2 linked regions of the Oryctolagus cuniculus genome follow. The main gene of each other region encodes a partner of the protein of the gene in region 2 in a complex. Links are inferred from orthologs where the notes say so. Each region holds a gene or a part of one and is shown on either strand. Other genes may lie near its edges.

The links.
Region 1: the proteins of DBF4 (region 2) and CDC7 are in contact, whole or in part, in a crystal structure (PDB 6YA8), measured with the Homo sapiens proteins. The link is inferred for Oryctolagus cuniculus from reciprocal best matches to the Homo sapiens genes DBF4 and CDC7. Residues at the interface, in NP_006707.1 of Homo sapiens: Thr210, Arg211, Thr212, Gly213, Arg214, Leu215, Lys217, Pro218, Phe219, Val220, Lys221, Val222, Glu223, Asp224, Met225, Ser226, Gln227, Leu228, Tyr229, Arg230, Pro231, Phe232, Tyr233, Leu234, Leu236, Met239, Pro240, Ile242, Asn243, Tyr244; in NP_001127891.1 of Homo sapiens: Asn56, Val57, Phe58, Ala77, Gln78, Leu79, Gln80, Ile87, Ile93, Pro94, Thr95, Ser96, His97, Pro98, Ile99, Arg100, Ile101, Ala102, Leu105, Gln106, Thr109, Lys121, Tyr122, Cys123, Phe124, Arg125, Asn127, Asp128, Val130, Leu143.

The regions. Positions count from the first base shown.
Region 1 is NC_091438.1:79,102,629-79,109,067, forward strand, and holds part of CDC7 (cell division cycle 7-related protein kinase), read right to left. Parts: intron 3,914-6,439; coding exon 3,820-3,913; intron 3,735-3,819; coding exon 3,592-3,734; intron 3,133-3,591; exon of another isoform or gene 2,616-3,132; intron 2,089-2,615; exon of another isoform or gene 2,016-2,088; intron 443-2,015; coding exon 193-442; intron 1-192. UniProt on the Homo sapiens protein: Kinase involved in initiation of DNA replication. Phosphorylates critical substrates that regulate the G1/S phase transition and initiation of DNA replication, such as MCM proteins and CLASPIN.
Region 2 is NC_091447.1:47,447,848-47,453,529, reverse strand, and holds the end of DBF4 (protein DBF4 homolog A), read left to right. Parts: intron 1-2,419; coding exon 2,420-3,389; 3' UTR 3,390-3,800; downstream 3,801-5,682. UniProt on the Homo sapiens protein: Regulatory subunit for CDC7 which activates its kinase activity thereby playing a central role in DNA replication and cell proliferation. Required for progression of S phase.

The DNA.
Region 1 (6,439 bases), on a different chromosome or scaffold from region 2:
CAAAAACATAAATCAAAAAGTAAGTTTCAGTTTTAAACAAGTCTCAGTGAAAATATAATCAAGCAAATATAAAGATGCTAAAAAATGGTTTTTTAATTACAAATACCATCTCAGTGTTATATCTCCCTTTGTTGGATGAAAGAATACATTTCTAAAACAATGCTACTACTTAAGAAATAAAACAGGTAGGACCTTTCCATCTTTTCCTTGTTTAATCTGAATTTGTGCATTTGTGCAGGGTCTTTTGATAGATGTTTTGGTGGGAGACCGCTGATCCAGTTCCTTAGGTGCTTGGCCACTCAATGAAATCTTGTTTCCCATGATTACATGAGATTTGTTCTGGGTGCAACTTTCCTGCTGCGTTTCAGATTGGACAAATTTGAGAAGCTCTATTTTTGTATCATGAGTTCCTTGGGCCAAACCGAAATCTACCAAGGCATACCTAAGAAACAAAATTAAGCATTTTTACTCCTTTTTAACAATTAAAGCTTTCAATACTCTCAACCACATGCATACAGAAACTACAATTCTTTTCAGGATCAATTAAGAATGAATAGTGTCCGGCTGGTGCCGCGGCTCACTTGGCTAATTCTCCGCCTGCGGCACCGGCACCCCGTGTTCTAGTTCCAGTTGGGGTGCTGGATTTTGTCCCGGCTGCTCCTCTTCCGTGCAGCTCTCTGGTGCAGCCCAGGAAGGCAGTGGAGATGGCTCAAGTACTTGGGCCCTGCACCTGGCTCCTGGCTTTGGATCGGCGCAGTGCACCGGCAGTAGCAACCATTTGGGGGGTGAATCAATGGAAAAAGGAAGACCTTTCTCTCTCTCTAATTCTGCCTGTCAAAAAAAAAAAAAAAAAAAAAGAAAGAAAGAAAGAAAGAACAGTGTTCAAGAAAAAAAAATACATTTTACAAAGCAAGGATTTAACACCAAGGTAGAATTGAAAATTAAGAAATGATATAGGGGCTGGCGCTGTAGCATAGCAGGTAAAGCCACCACCTGCAGTGCCGCCATCCCATATGGGCGCCTGTTCAAGTTCTGGCTGCTCCACTTCTGATTCAGCTCTCTCCTATGGCCTGGGAAAGCAGAAGATGGCCTAATTGCTGGGCCCCTGCAACCCTGTGGGAGGCCTGGAGGAAGCTCCTGGCTCTGGGTCAGATGAGCCCAGTTCCAGCTGTTGAGGCCATTTGGGGGTGAACCAGAGGATGGAAGACTTTTCTCTCTCCTTCTCTCTGCCTCTGTGTAACTTTGTCTTTCAAATAAATCTTAAAAAAAAAAAAAAAAAGAAATTATATATTCCAGGAGCTGGCACTATGGCTTAGCAGGCTAAACTGCTAACTGCAATACTGGCATCTCCTACGGGTGCCCCAGTTAAAGTCCCAGCTGCTCCATTTTGTTCCAGCTCTTTTTTTTTTTTTTTTTTAAGATTTATTTATTTGAAAGAGTTACACAGAGAGAGGAAAGGCAGAGAGAGAGAGAGGTCTTCCATCCGATGGTTCACCCCCAACTGACCATATGGCCGGAGCTGTGCCATTCCGAAGCCAGGAGCTTTTCCAAGTCTCCCACATGGGTGCAGGGGCCCAAGGATATGGGCCATCTGCTGCTACTTTCTCAGGCCATAGCAGAGAGTTGGATTAGAAGTGAAGCAGCTAGGTCTCTAACCGGTGCCCATATGGGATGCCGGTGCTTCAGGCCAGGGCATTAACCCACTGCGCCACAGCGCCAGCCCCTCAAGCTCCCTAATATACCTAAGAAAAGCAGTAGAAGATGGTCCAAGTGTTTGGGTCCAGGGTCCCTGCCACCTGCATGGAAGACTCAGATGGACTTCTAGGATACTAGCTTCAGTCTTGCTCAGCTCTGACTATTGTGTCTATTTGGAGAACAAACCAGCAAATTGAAGATGTTTCTCTCTGTCTCTTCCTCTCTCGGCTCTTTCATATAAATAAAATAAATCTTAAAACAAAAAAGAGAAAAAGAAATGACACACTCCACAGTCAACTGCTTTTCTCTCTCTTTTCCAGTGGCCTATGTTAATGGGGCAATATAAATACAATGCTTTATTCTCTGATCGTGGCACAGATGGCATCACAGCAGGTAATTTCTAATAAAACAAGTTTAAAAGAGAAGTTGAAATAATGGTTTTAACATATGACTTAATTTTTAAAAACTAAAGGAGTGGGCATTTAGCACCGAAGTTAAGCTGCTGCTTGGGATATCTTTTGCATGCCCTATCAGAGTACTTGGTTTAAGTCTCAGCTCTGCTCTCCATTCCAGCTTCCTGCTAAAGTACACCGAGGTAGGCAGCAGGGGTATGGTTCTAGTACCCAGGTCCCTGTCACTCATGTGGGAGAACCAGATTAAGTTCTCAGCTCCTGGTTTTTTGGCCTGGCCCAGCCCCAGCTGTTATAAGCATTTGGAGGGTAAACTAGTGAATGGGAAACCTCTGTCTCCCTGTTTCTCTGCCTTTCAAATAAGTAAAAATAAAAAATTTACTCTATAGGGGTGAAATGGTCATTTTTCCATTCAATTATTCTGTATAGCTATTGTCTATAGTCACACTAAGCTCAGGTCTTTTTGCTTTTTACTTGTTAAACTTTTTTTTTTTTCCTTGTACTTGAAAGTCACAGTTACACAGAGAAGGAGAGGCAGAGAGAGAGAGGTCTTCCATCTGCTGGTTCACTCTCCAACTGACTGCAACAGCCGGAGCTGCGCCGATCCAAAGCCAGGATCCAGGAGCTTCTTCCAGGTCTCCTACATGGGTGCAAGGTCCCAAGGACTTGGGCCATCTTCTACTGCTTTCCCGGGCCTTAGCAGAGAGCTGGATTGGAAGCGGAGCAGCCAGGACTCGAACCGGCAGCAGGCGGCCCTACCCGCTATGCCACAGTGCCAGCACCTTGTTAAACTTCTTATTCAGTGAAGTATTAAACCTTTTTACTGTAATGTAAATTTAAAATATGTATCTCAAAAACTAAAAAAAAGAATAAAAGGGCAAAGAAAGGAGGGTGGAAAGGTGACAGGGGAAAAGAGAGGGAAAGGGAGAAGGAGGGAATATCACTATGTTCTTAGAATTCTATCTACACAGCACACTGAATCTGTTAAAAATAATTAAGAAAAAAAAATTTTTAAAAAGAAAAAGAAAAATCATGGCTATAAAATCCCAACAAACAAGTTACACTCTTAATCTTGTTACCATATTCAATATGATATACTATATAAACAGCAGCATTTAAGTTATTTTATTCCTCTATGTATATAATTAGCATAAAAAGTATACATAAAAATAGAGCTTTAATGTTTAAACAGGAAACTGGTTATTATGTGGTTTAATTCCTCATTTATTAGAAAAGAAAAATGAAGTCATGTGTAAATTCAAAGATTATAAGTTTCTTAACTAAGAGTTATTTACTCTAAACCACAGTTCCTCTAATGATATACACTGCTTTACTAATACAAAGTTATCTTCTCTGCATTTTCCTTTCCTAATCACAAAGAAAGAAACGATTTGGACGTGACTGCTGAAGTGTATGTCTAAGGGCTGGACCCTATCACACAAATTCATTGAAGTGAAAGTATTATCTAGGAACTCTTCATACTCACTTTTTCAGGCGTCTATTATATAAAAAATTGCTGGGCTTAACATCACGGTGAACAATACCAAACTGGTGAATGCGTTTCAAAGCTCTGAACAGATTAAACATGTATTCCCGTACTTCTTGAAAGGAAAGAGAATTCAAAATGTCCTAAAATAAAGTTATAAATAGGGTCATAAGATAGTTTTCAATTAAATATTTAGCTAATAAAAATTCAAGAAATATTAAAACTTACCAAAAAAGACTCATGTTCTAGGTATGGCATAGCAATAACAACATGATCATTTTTCCTAAAGCAATATTTAACTCCCATGACGTTGTCTTGCCCCCTAGTGGAAAAAAGTTCAGTGAGCTTTAGAGGAAAGATCAAACTGAATCATTACAGCTTAATCTTTTTTTAAAAAAATATAACTTTAACAATGCATGCATGCAGTATAAAACTGACTTAAATCATCACAAGATAGTATAACATTTAACTCACTTGGATAAGAAAGCAAGCATTCTTTTAAAATAAAAATTGTTATCAGCTATGAGGTCACTATAATAATTCAAATATGAGGTAATTAGAAGTGGCGAAAAAAGAAGGAAAAGATAAACAAGAATGAATTGAGATTTGGTAGCAGATAAGATGGTAAGAATAGTACGTTCATTCCAGGTAACATTAATTGAACACTTACTACACAACTAGCTCTGATCTAAGTACTTCGTATCTACCACAACAAATTCACTTACTCTCCAAAGAAACCCTACGAGGAAGGTGCTACTATTTCTTTCCATGTTCACAGATGAAGAAACAGGCACAGAGAGGTTAAAGAACTTGTCCAAGGTCATTAAACTAGTAAGTCTCGGAGCCACGACTTAAAAAAAAAAAAAAAAAAAAAAAAAAAACTTTTAAAATTATTTAGAGAGGCACAGGAGAGAGAGATACAGACAGAGGGAGAGCTCGTTCACCTCCCAGATGCCTACAAGGGCTGGGGCTGTGTCAGGCTGGGACTCAGTCTAGGCCTCGCATATAGGTGGCAGGGACCCAAGCACTTGAGCCATCACCTGTTGCCTCCCAGGGTGCACTTTAGCAAGAAGCTACAATTGGCAATGGAGATGGACTCAAACCCACGCACTCCAACATCGGAGGCAAACATCTCAACCAGCACCTTAGTCACGAGGCCAAAACTTGCCCCTTGAGTTACAAGTTGAATCCTGTTAGTTTATTCCTAACCAATGTTCTTAATCACAATGTTTCTTAACGGGTAAGGAAAATGGAATAATGTTGATTTCCATGATTTTGATACTGACTGTAATAAGTAGATGCCAAAAAAATTAAGTAAAACAAGCAAACAAACAACACCAACAATTCATCATTTTAAAAGAAAAATTTAGATATGGGACTAAATATTTTAAATTTTTTAAAGATGTATTTATTTATTTGAAAGGCAGAGTTATATATAGAGAGAGACATCTTCCATCTGCTGGTTCACTCCCCAGATGGCAGTGATGGCCAGGGCTGGGCCAGACAGAAGCCAGGAGCCAGGAACTTCATCTTGGCTTCCCACATGGGTGGCAGGAGTCTAAACACTTGGGCCATCTTCTACTGTTTTTCCCAGGCCATCAGCAGGGAGTTGTATTGGAAGTGGAGCAGCCAGGATATGAATTGGTGCCCGTTCGGGATGCTGGCACTACAGGTGATGGCTTTACCAGCTATGCCAATACCCGCCCCAATCTTTTTTTCTTAATATTTTATTTATTTCTTTGAAAGACAAAGTTAGAGAGAAAAGGAGAGACAGAGATCTTCCATTTGCTGGTTCATTCCCCAGATAGCCACATGGCCAAGGCTGGGCCAGGTTAAAGCCAGGAGCAAGGAGATTTTTCTGGGTCTCCCACATGGGTGGCAGAGGCCCAAGCACTGGGGCCACCTTTTACTGCTTTCCCAGGCCATCAGCAGGGAGCCAGATTGGAAGTGCAAATGGGCACCCATATAGGATGCCAGCACTGCAGGCGGCAGCTTAATTGGCTACATCACAATGCTGGCCCCCAGGACTAAATCTTAACTGGGAAGTCAAGCGAGAAAACTTACAAAGAAGCAATATCCAAAAGCTGTGAACATAAACAGAGAAGAGAAAATGAGTTTTGGAAAAAGTCTCATGGTAAAAAGTAAAAATAAGGAAGGATAACAAAGTAAGGAGTTGGAAAGGAGCCCCCAAAATGGAGGTCAGAGGATAAGGACTGAGTAAAGGCTTTTGGAGTGACAGGGAAACTAGTAATTTTTCTAAAAGCAATTAAATGGAAAGAAAGAAGCAAAATAGGAGTTAAGGAAAGCAACCAGGATAGTGTTCAAAGCAGAGCACAAAGACAATTTGCCAACTGCATTGCAAGACCAGAGGAAGACGTTTTTAGCATGCACATTTCTGAAATGCAGAGAAAGGAAAAAGGGGTAGAGAGACACCAAGTACAGAGAAGGGTGAATCAAAGAAACAGGCTCATTCTTTTATTGATTTAATAAGAAATTAGTGGGCACTATTATTTGGAGACACTATGTTAGACATGGGGAATGCAATGATAAGTAAAATTAATACAATTTCTGTCCTCAGAGAACTTAACTATCTAGTAGAACAATGGGCAACAAACAAGATGATAAATAATGGACTACAGTACGGGGCTTAGAAAAAGCCTAAAGTTCCTACATACACACACACACACACACACACACACATATATCAATATAGGAGAATCAAATTTAATCCAAGGCATCTTTGAAACAATGTCACTCTTGCCTACAGCAGAAATAAGAGATAACAGCATTTGAAGACCAGAGAGTTCTTCTTGCATGGACAAAGAGTTTGGGAATGAGTGGCCTTAAA
Region 2 (5,682 bases):
TGATTAACCTGAAAATAATTCCAAAGTTTGCCTCTTTTTGGAATTTCTACTTTGAGAATGTGCATATGGTCAATAACTAATAACTTCCCTTCTCTCCTCCCCCTGCTACCTAACGTGCTTACAGCAGGTTATTTATAGTCTCCTTCTTGACACTGGCATTTAAAAGAAGGTTGGTAAAATTTTTTTCTGAAGAGCCAGCTGTTTTTAAGGTCAGAGCCAGCATCGTGACAACAGGTAGTTGCCGCCTATGATGGCAGCATCCCATATGGGTGCTGGTTTTTTTGCTGCCTGCTTCACTTCCCATCCAGCTCCCTGCTAATGGCCTGGGAAACACAGCAGAAGATGGTCCAAGTGTTTGGGCCTCTGCCATCAGGTGGAATACCCAGATGGAGTTCCAGGGTCCTGACTTCAGCCTGGCTCAGCCCTGGCTGTTGTCATTTGGGGAGTGAACCAGCAGATGGAAGATATCTCTCTCTCTCTCTCTCAATCTCTCAATCTCTCAATCTCCCTGTCTCTGTAACTCTGGCTTTCAAATCAATAAATAAATCTTTAAAAATAAAATATAATGTTATGTGAACCATAAGATCTTTGTTAAATATTCAGCTTTTATGCCACAATGGGTGTAGCTGTGTTGCAGTAAAACTTTATTTAGAAAATAGACTGAAGGCTAGATTTTCCCACAGTTTGAATAGTTTGCTTACTCTTAGTCTAGAACAATAAAGTTTACCTTCTATTTATAAGAGGCTTGAAACTTTTAATTAATTTTAAGGGATTTTAAGGAACCTTCTTTAACCTTCCTCTATGAAGCCTTATTTTTTACTTTCACTAAATAATACACTCTCTTTGCTGGTAATTACTAAAGGTACCAACAGGATTTTTTTTTAATTATTTTTTAAATTTTTTAAGAAAGCTTTTATTTAATGAATACAAATTTCATAGGTACAGCTTTAGGAATATAGTGGTTCTTCCCCCTATACCCACCCTCCCACCCCCACTCCAATCCCACCTCCTGCTCCCTCTCCCATCCCATTCTTAATTAGTATTCATTTTTTAATTAACTTTATATACAGAAGACCAACTCTATTCTAAGATTTCCAGTTTGCACCCACACAAACACACAAAGTATGAAGTACTGTTTGAAAACAAGTTTTGTAGTTAATTCTCATAGTACAACTCATTAAGGACAGAGGTCCTACATGGAGAGTAAGTGCACAGTGATTCCCAACAGGACTTTTAACTGAAAATACAGTTTAGTCAATGTACAATGACTACATACTGATTAAGGAAAATGGTCCTAATTAGATTATTATTGAGATTAAAGGGTGATGCTCACTAAATGGATACCCCTGTACCTAGAGTTAGTGATGATTCAATAAGTTATTCTGTCTTTAGATCTATTTTAGACTAATGGTATTTATTTTGATTTATAAAGATACTTATATTAATTTTGACTTCCTGCAGCCTCCCTACACCCCGTTAAAGATTTATTTGAAAGCTGGCAGAGTTAGAGAGGGAGAGACAGAGAGAAGGATCCTTCATCCACTGGTTCACTCCTCAGATGACTGCAATGGCTAGGGCTGGGCCAGGCCAGAGTCAGGAGCTTCATTGGGTCTCCCACATGGGTAGCAGGAGCTGAAGAACCTAAGACATCTTCTGGTGCTTTCTCAGGCCATTAGCAGGGAGCTGGATCAGAAGTGGAGCAGCTGGGACCCAAATCAGGAACCATTCTGATTGAAGGGGCAGACAAAATTGTATTACATTTATCATTATTATTTGTGTTATATATAACATAAAACATAGTTGGTGAGCTGTTAACTTCTGTATTTGTATAGATTGTTTCATAAAACGACCATCACAAGGATATCAAGACACTATAAAGAAAAGGGTTTCAGGTTAAATATGTGCCATCTTTAGAAGTATAAACATTTTAAGTTCTCATTTTATTCTTAAATAATAAGTATTTTCTACCTTTGATTTCTCAATAAATACTCAATTTTCCACAATGCTAAATAAGAAGAGTAAAATATTCATTAATACAAATCAAAAGTACAGAAGTAAAGAAATTTTTCAGAATCATGAGAGCAAAATTAAGAGCAGGCCCAAATTCATTTACTATCATTTTTCTTGACTGTACATGATTAAACTAGTTTTAAGCACCCAGTTCAGGATATTTGATAACTTTGGGGTGGAGAGTGAAGAATGTGGAAAAGAGTGAGAAGAATTTTCAGCTGTATCTGTAAAGTCTTGATTACTTTAAAAACATCTTAAAAATAAATTAGACAAAATGTTGAGTTCTGTGCTTTTGTGATATTTTCTAAGTTAGGTAGGTTTCTTAAATAGTTTTAAGATATTTTTGCTAATTCTGTTTCTAACAAGATTTTGTTTTGATAGCAAATATTTTAATTTTTTTTCTACAAAGAATAAAATACAGTATTGGATCCTTTTCTCCTGTTTCTGCTAATATCCTGAAAAAGACTCAACCAAAGCAAAAGCTACAATTGCAGCATATTTCTCAGAAAGACTTGAGAGAGAGTAAGATACAGGTGATGGAGCAGAATTTCCTGTGTGAAGAAACTCAGGAACCTGAACAAAAGCTTGTGTTGATTTCAGAACCCATCCACAGCGCTTCAAATGAACTGAGAGAACTCAATGAAAAAATGAGTCCTATGTTAAATACAGCTGAAAATGATACAAAACAAAATTTTACACAGCTACCTCCACATAAAAATAAACAGGAATTCATTCTTGACATTTCTGATACTAAATTAAGTAAAAACGACTTAGAAGAGCTAGGGGTAGATCACTGTCCTTGTAGGCTACAGACTTCTATACAAGTTTCTGTTTTCAGTGCAAATAGTGCTGCTCAACCAAAACAGAACTCAGATACTGTGAATTTTCCAACAAAGAATCTGAAGGAAAAGGAACTTCATTCATTACTTGGTCACAGTTCTGATCTGAGAACAATCAACAGTTCACAAGAGCACCTAACAGTTCAGGCAAAGACTCAATCCCCTCATCCTGGTGAAGAACCCAGTGAATGTGACATCAAAAATGTGGATAGTTTACGTTCTTGTAAAATACGTCGAAAAGTGAAAATGTTATTAGGACGAAATAAAAAAGAAAATCTGGAGCCAAATGCTGAATTGGATAAGAAGAGAACTGAATTTCTTATTACACAAGAAGAAAACAGAATCTGTAGTTCACCAGTACAGTCTCTACTGGACTTATTTCAGACTAGTGAGGAGAAGTCAGAATTTATGGGTTTCACAAGTTATACTGAAAACAGTGGTGTATGTGATGTTTTAGATATTTGGGAAGAGGAAAATTCTAATAATCTGTTGTCGATGTTTTTTTCTTCCCCCTCAAATTCTACATTTACTGGCTTTTAGACTTTAAAGGATGTGTATTTTTCGAAAGTCACATAGATCAAATTCTTGAAATCTATTTTAGAAATATATATAAAAATTCTTAGGAGTTTTTGGCTACCTTTGTTTACAGAACCAAATGTAAATATTAATAAAGGTGATGTTTCCAATTTTCTACAGAATTTAATATATTAGGAAAATTATAAACTTTTCACTTTGTCATATTTTACTGTGTTCATAATTATTTTGTGAGAATTATAATGAAAAATATAGTTTGCTGTATGCCACTAAAATTTGAGTTTGAGAATATTAAAAATGTATCAACATAAATTTGGATATTTTAAGTTACACTTATTGTCCATTACAATAGATTCTTATGATAACATGGCATTATTAAAAATCTGCAAATTAAAAACATTTCATGGAAAAGGAAAAGATGTGTTAATTTCTGTTAGAATTTTGGACGTCATTGTGACTCAGTTGGGTCAGGTTAGTGTTTTGTAACTGACAGATTATCTGTAGGGTAAATAGAAGCCATGAAGGAAAAACTTAACCAGCTGCAATGTGGACTATAGCTCTTGTGCTATTCTTAATTATTTACCTTTGGAAATAACTTTGAGAGTAGTGACTCATTATGCTTCTTCTAACTTAGTGTTGAGAGAAAAAGGATGGTATTGAATTGCAGATAGAGTTTTGAAATCTGTATCAGAATTGCTTTGCTCTACCACTTGCCTGTACAATATTTTGGAATAAATACACATATAACAGCAATTTATCTTTTTATCAGAAGATAGAAGGCAATAACAGTGGCATTTTTTCATGGTAGAAAATTGGTGCCATTGAATATCACATGAATACATTGTCACTAAAAATTAACTTTAGTTAACAGTTGTAAATTTTTGAAATCGTATATGGCTCCCAATATAGAATTAGTTGCATACTTTCTTATACATGGAAAGAGCATTTCCATTTCTTTCAGTACACTTGTATTATGTTAACCATTGCAGGTTACCAGTGAGAATACTGGCTTTTCAACAACTTGATTATTCTTACCAGTTCCTTAGGTAGGATCAATGAAAGAGTCTACAGTGCATATAAGCAAAGCTTGTTTTAGTTGTAGATCACTATTGTAGCATTTTCTGTCACAAATGAACATGTGTATCTCTGAATTGATGTCAAGTTTTATAGAGAGTGTTCTAAAAATCTAGAAACTTAGAAAATAATTTGAAGGGTTTTTTCCTTAAGTTAATATCTGTATGTCCCCCAAATCCAGAATAATTAAAAGGTAAACTTGCTATATTAATCTTTGACTCTACAGTGAGTCTCCTCAATTTGCAGTTATGTTTGCACCACAATTATTTGTATCATTTTGCTTCCCTGGTATTTAATGAAGGTGGGGGTGGGAGACTGAAGCTGAACCCTCTAGTAGTTGGTAAATACTTTGGATATTGGACTGAACACTGTAAGATTTTCATAATGAATAATCAGCTTTTACGAAATGTTTAGGTTGCAGTTTGTTTGAATGGTGCTATAAACTGAAGCAGGACTATCACATGGCATTTGCATTGGGTTGCATTATGGGGTGGGTACTCAGCCTATAGGATCAAAGCTGATAGAAATCCAGCATAGTTGCAGCATATAATTGTCCTGGCAATGAGTACATTCACCTAGAGGTCAGTGCTTTTGTAAGTTTTTTTTACCAAGGCCCAGCCTATGTATCTTAGGCATTGTGTCTACCCAGAGAAGATGATTCTTAAAAACTTAAATTAATTAAAAAATTCTTTTCTAGTGGCACTTAATTCTCTAATAGCACTTATAATTATACCTTGGTTTCTATATCCACTCACAAAAGGACACAAGTCTTTAACATAGCAAGGTACCTTCAAAAGTAGGAGTCTACAAAGATTCCTTTGCAGGGTAGATGTGAAACTTTGGGTTCTCTTGAATATGATAGGCTGTGTCAAATGGGTGCAGACGAGTAACAGGTCCCGAGCAAGCATAGAATTTTATGATGTTAACACTGGAGATGGAAGGGAAAATAACAGGGTATCTAATAAACTTTTATTTAAGGGCAACAGGTAGTATAGCATTCAGAGTCTGTGGCTCTGTTTTTTGGGGTTAGCCAGACAATAGCGCTGGAGATTTCAGGATTTTTCTGACAAAAGTAGTGAAAGGTATATATTAGAAGTCAAAATAGTTTCTTCTATATTTTTAAGCCAGTTGTTTTCCTATATAGTATGTCTATTAAAAACTTATAAAACAATATGTATTCAGATGTTTATAATTCTAATGTTAGAAAGCTTTATCTTACACTTTC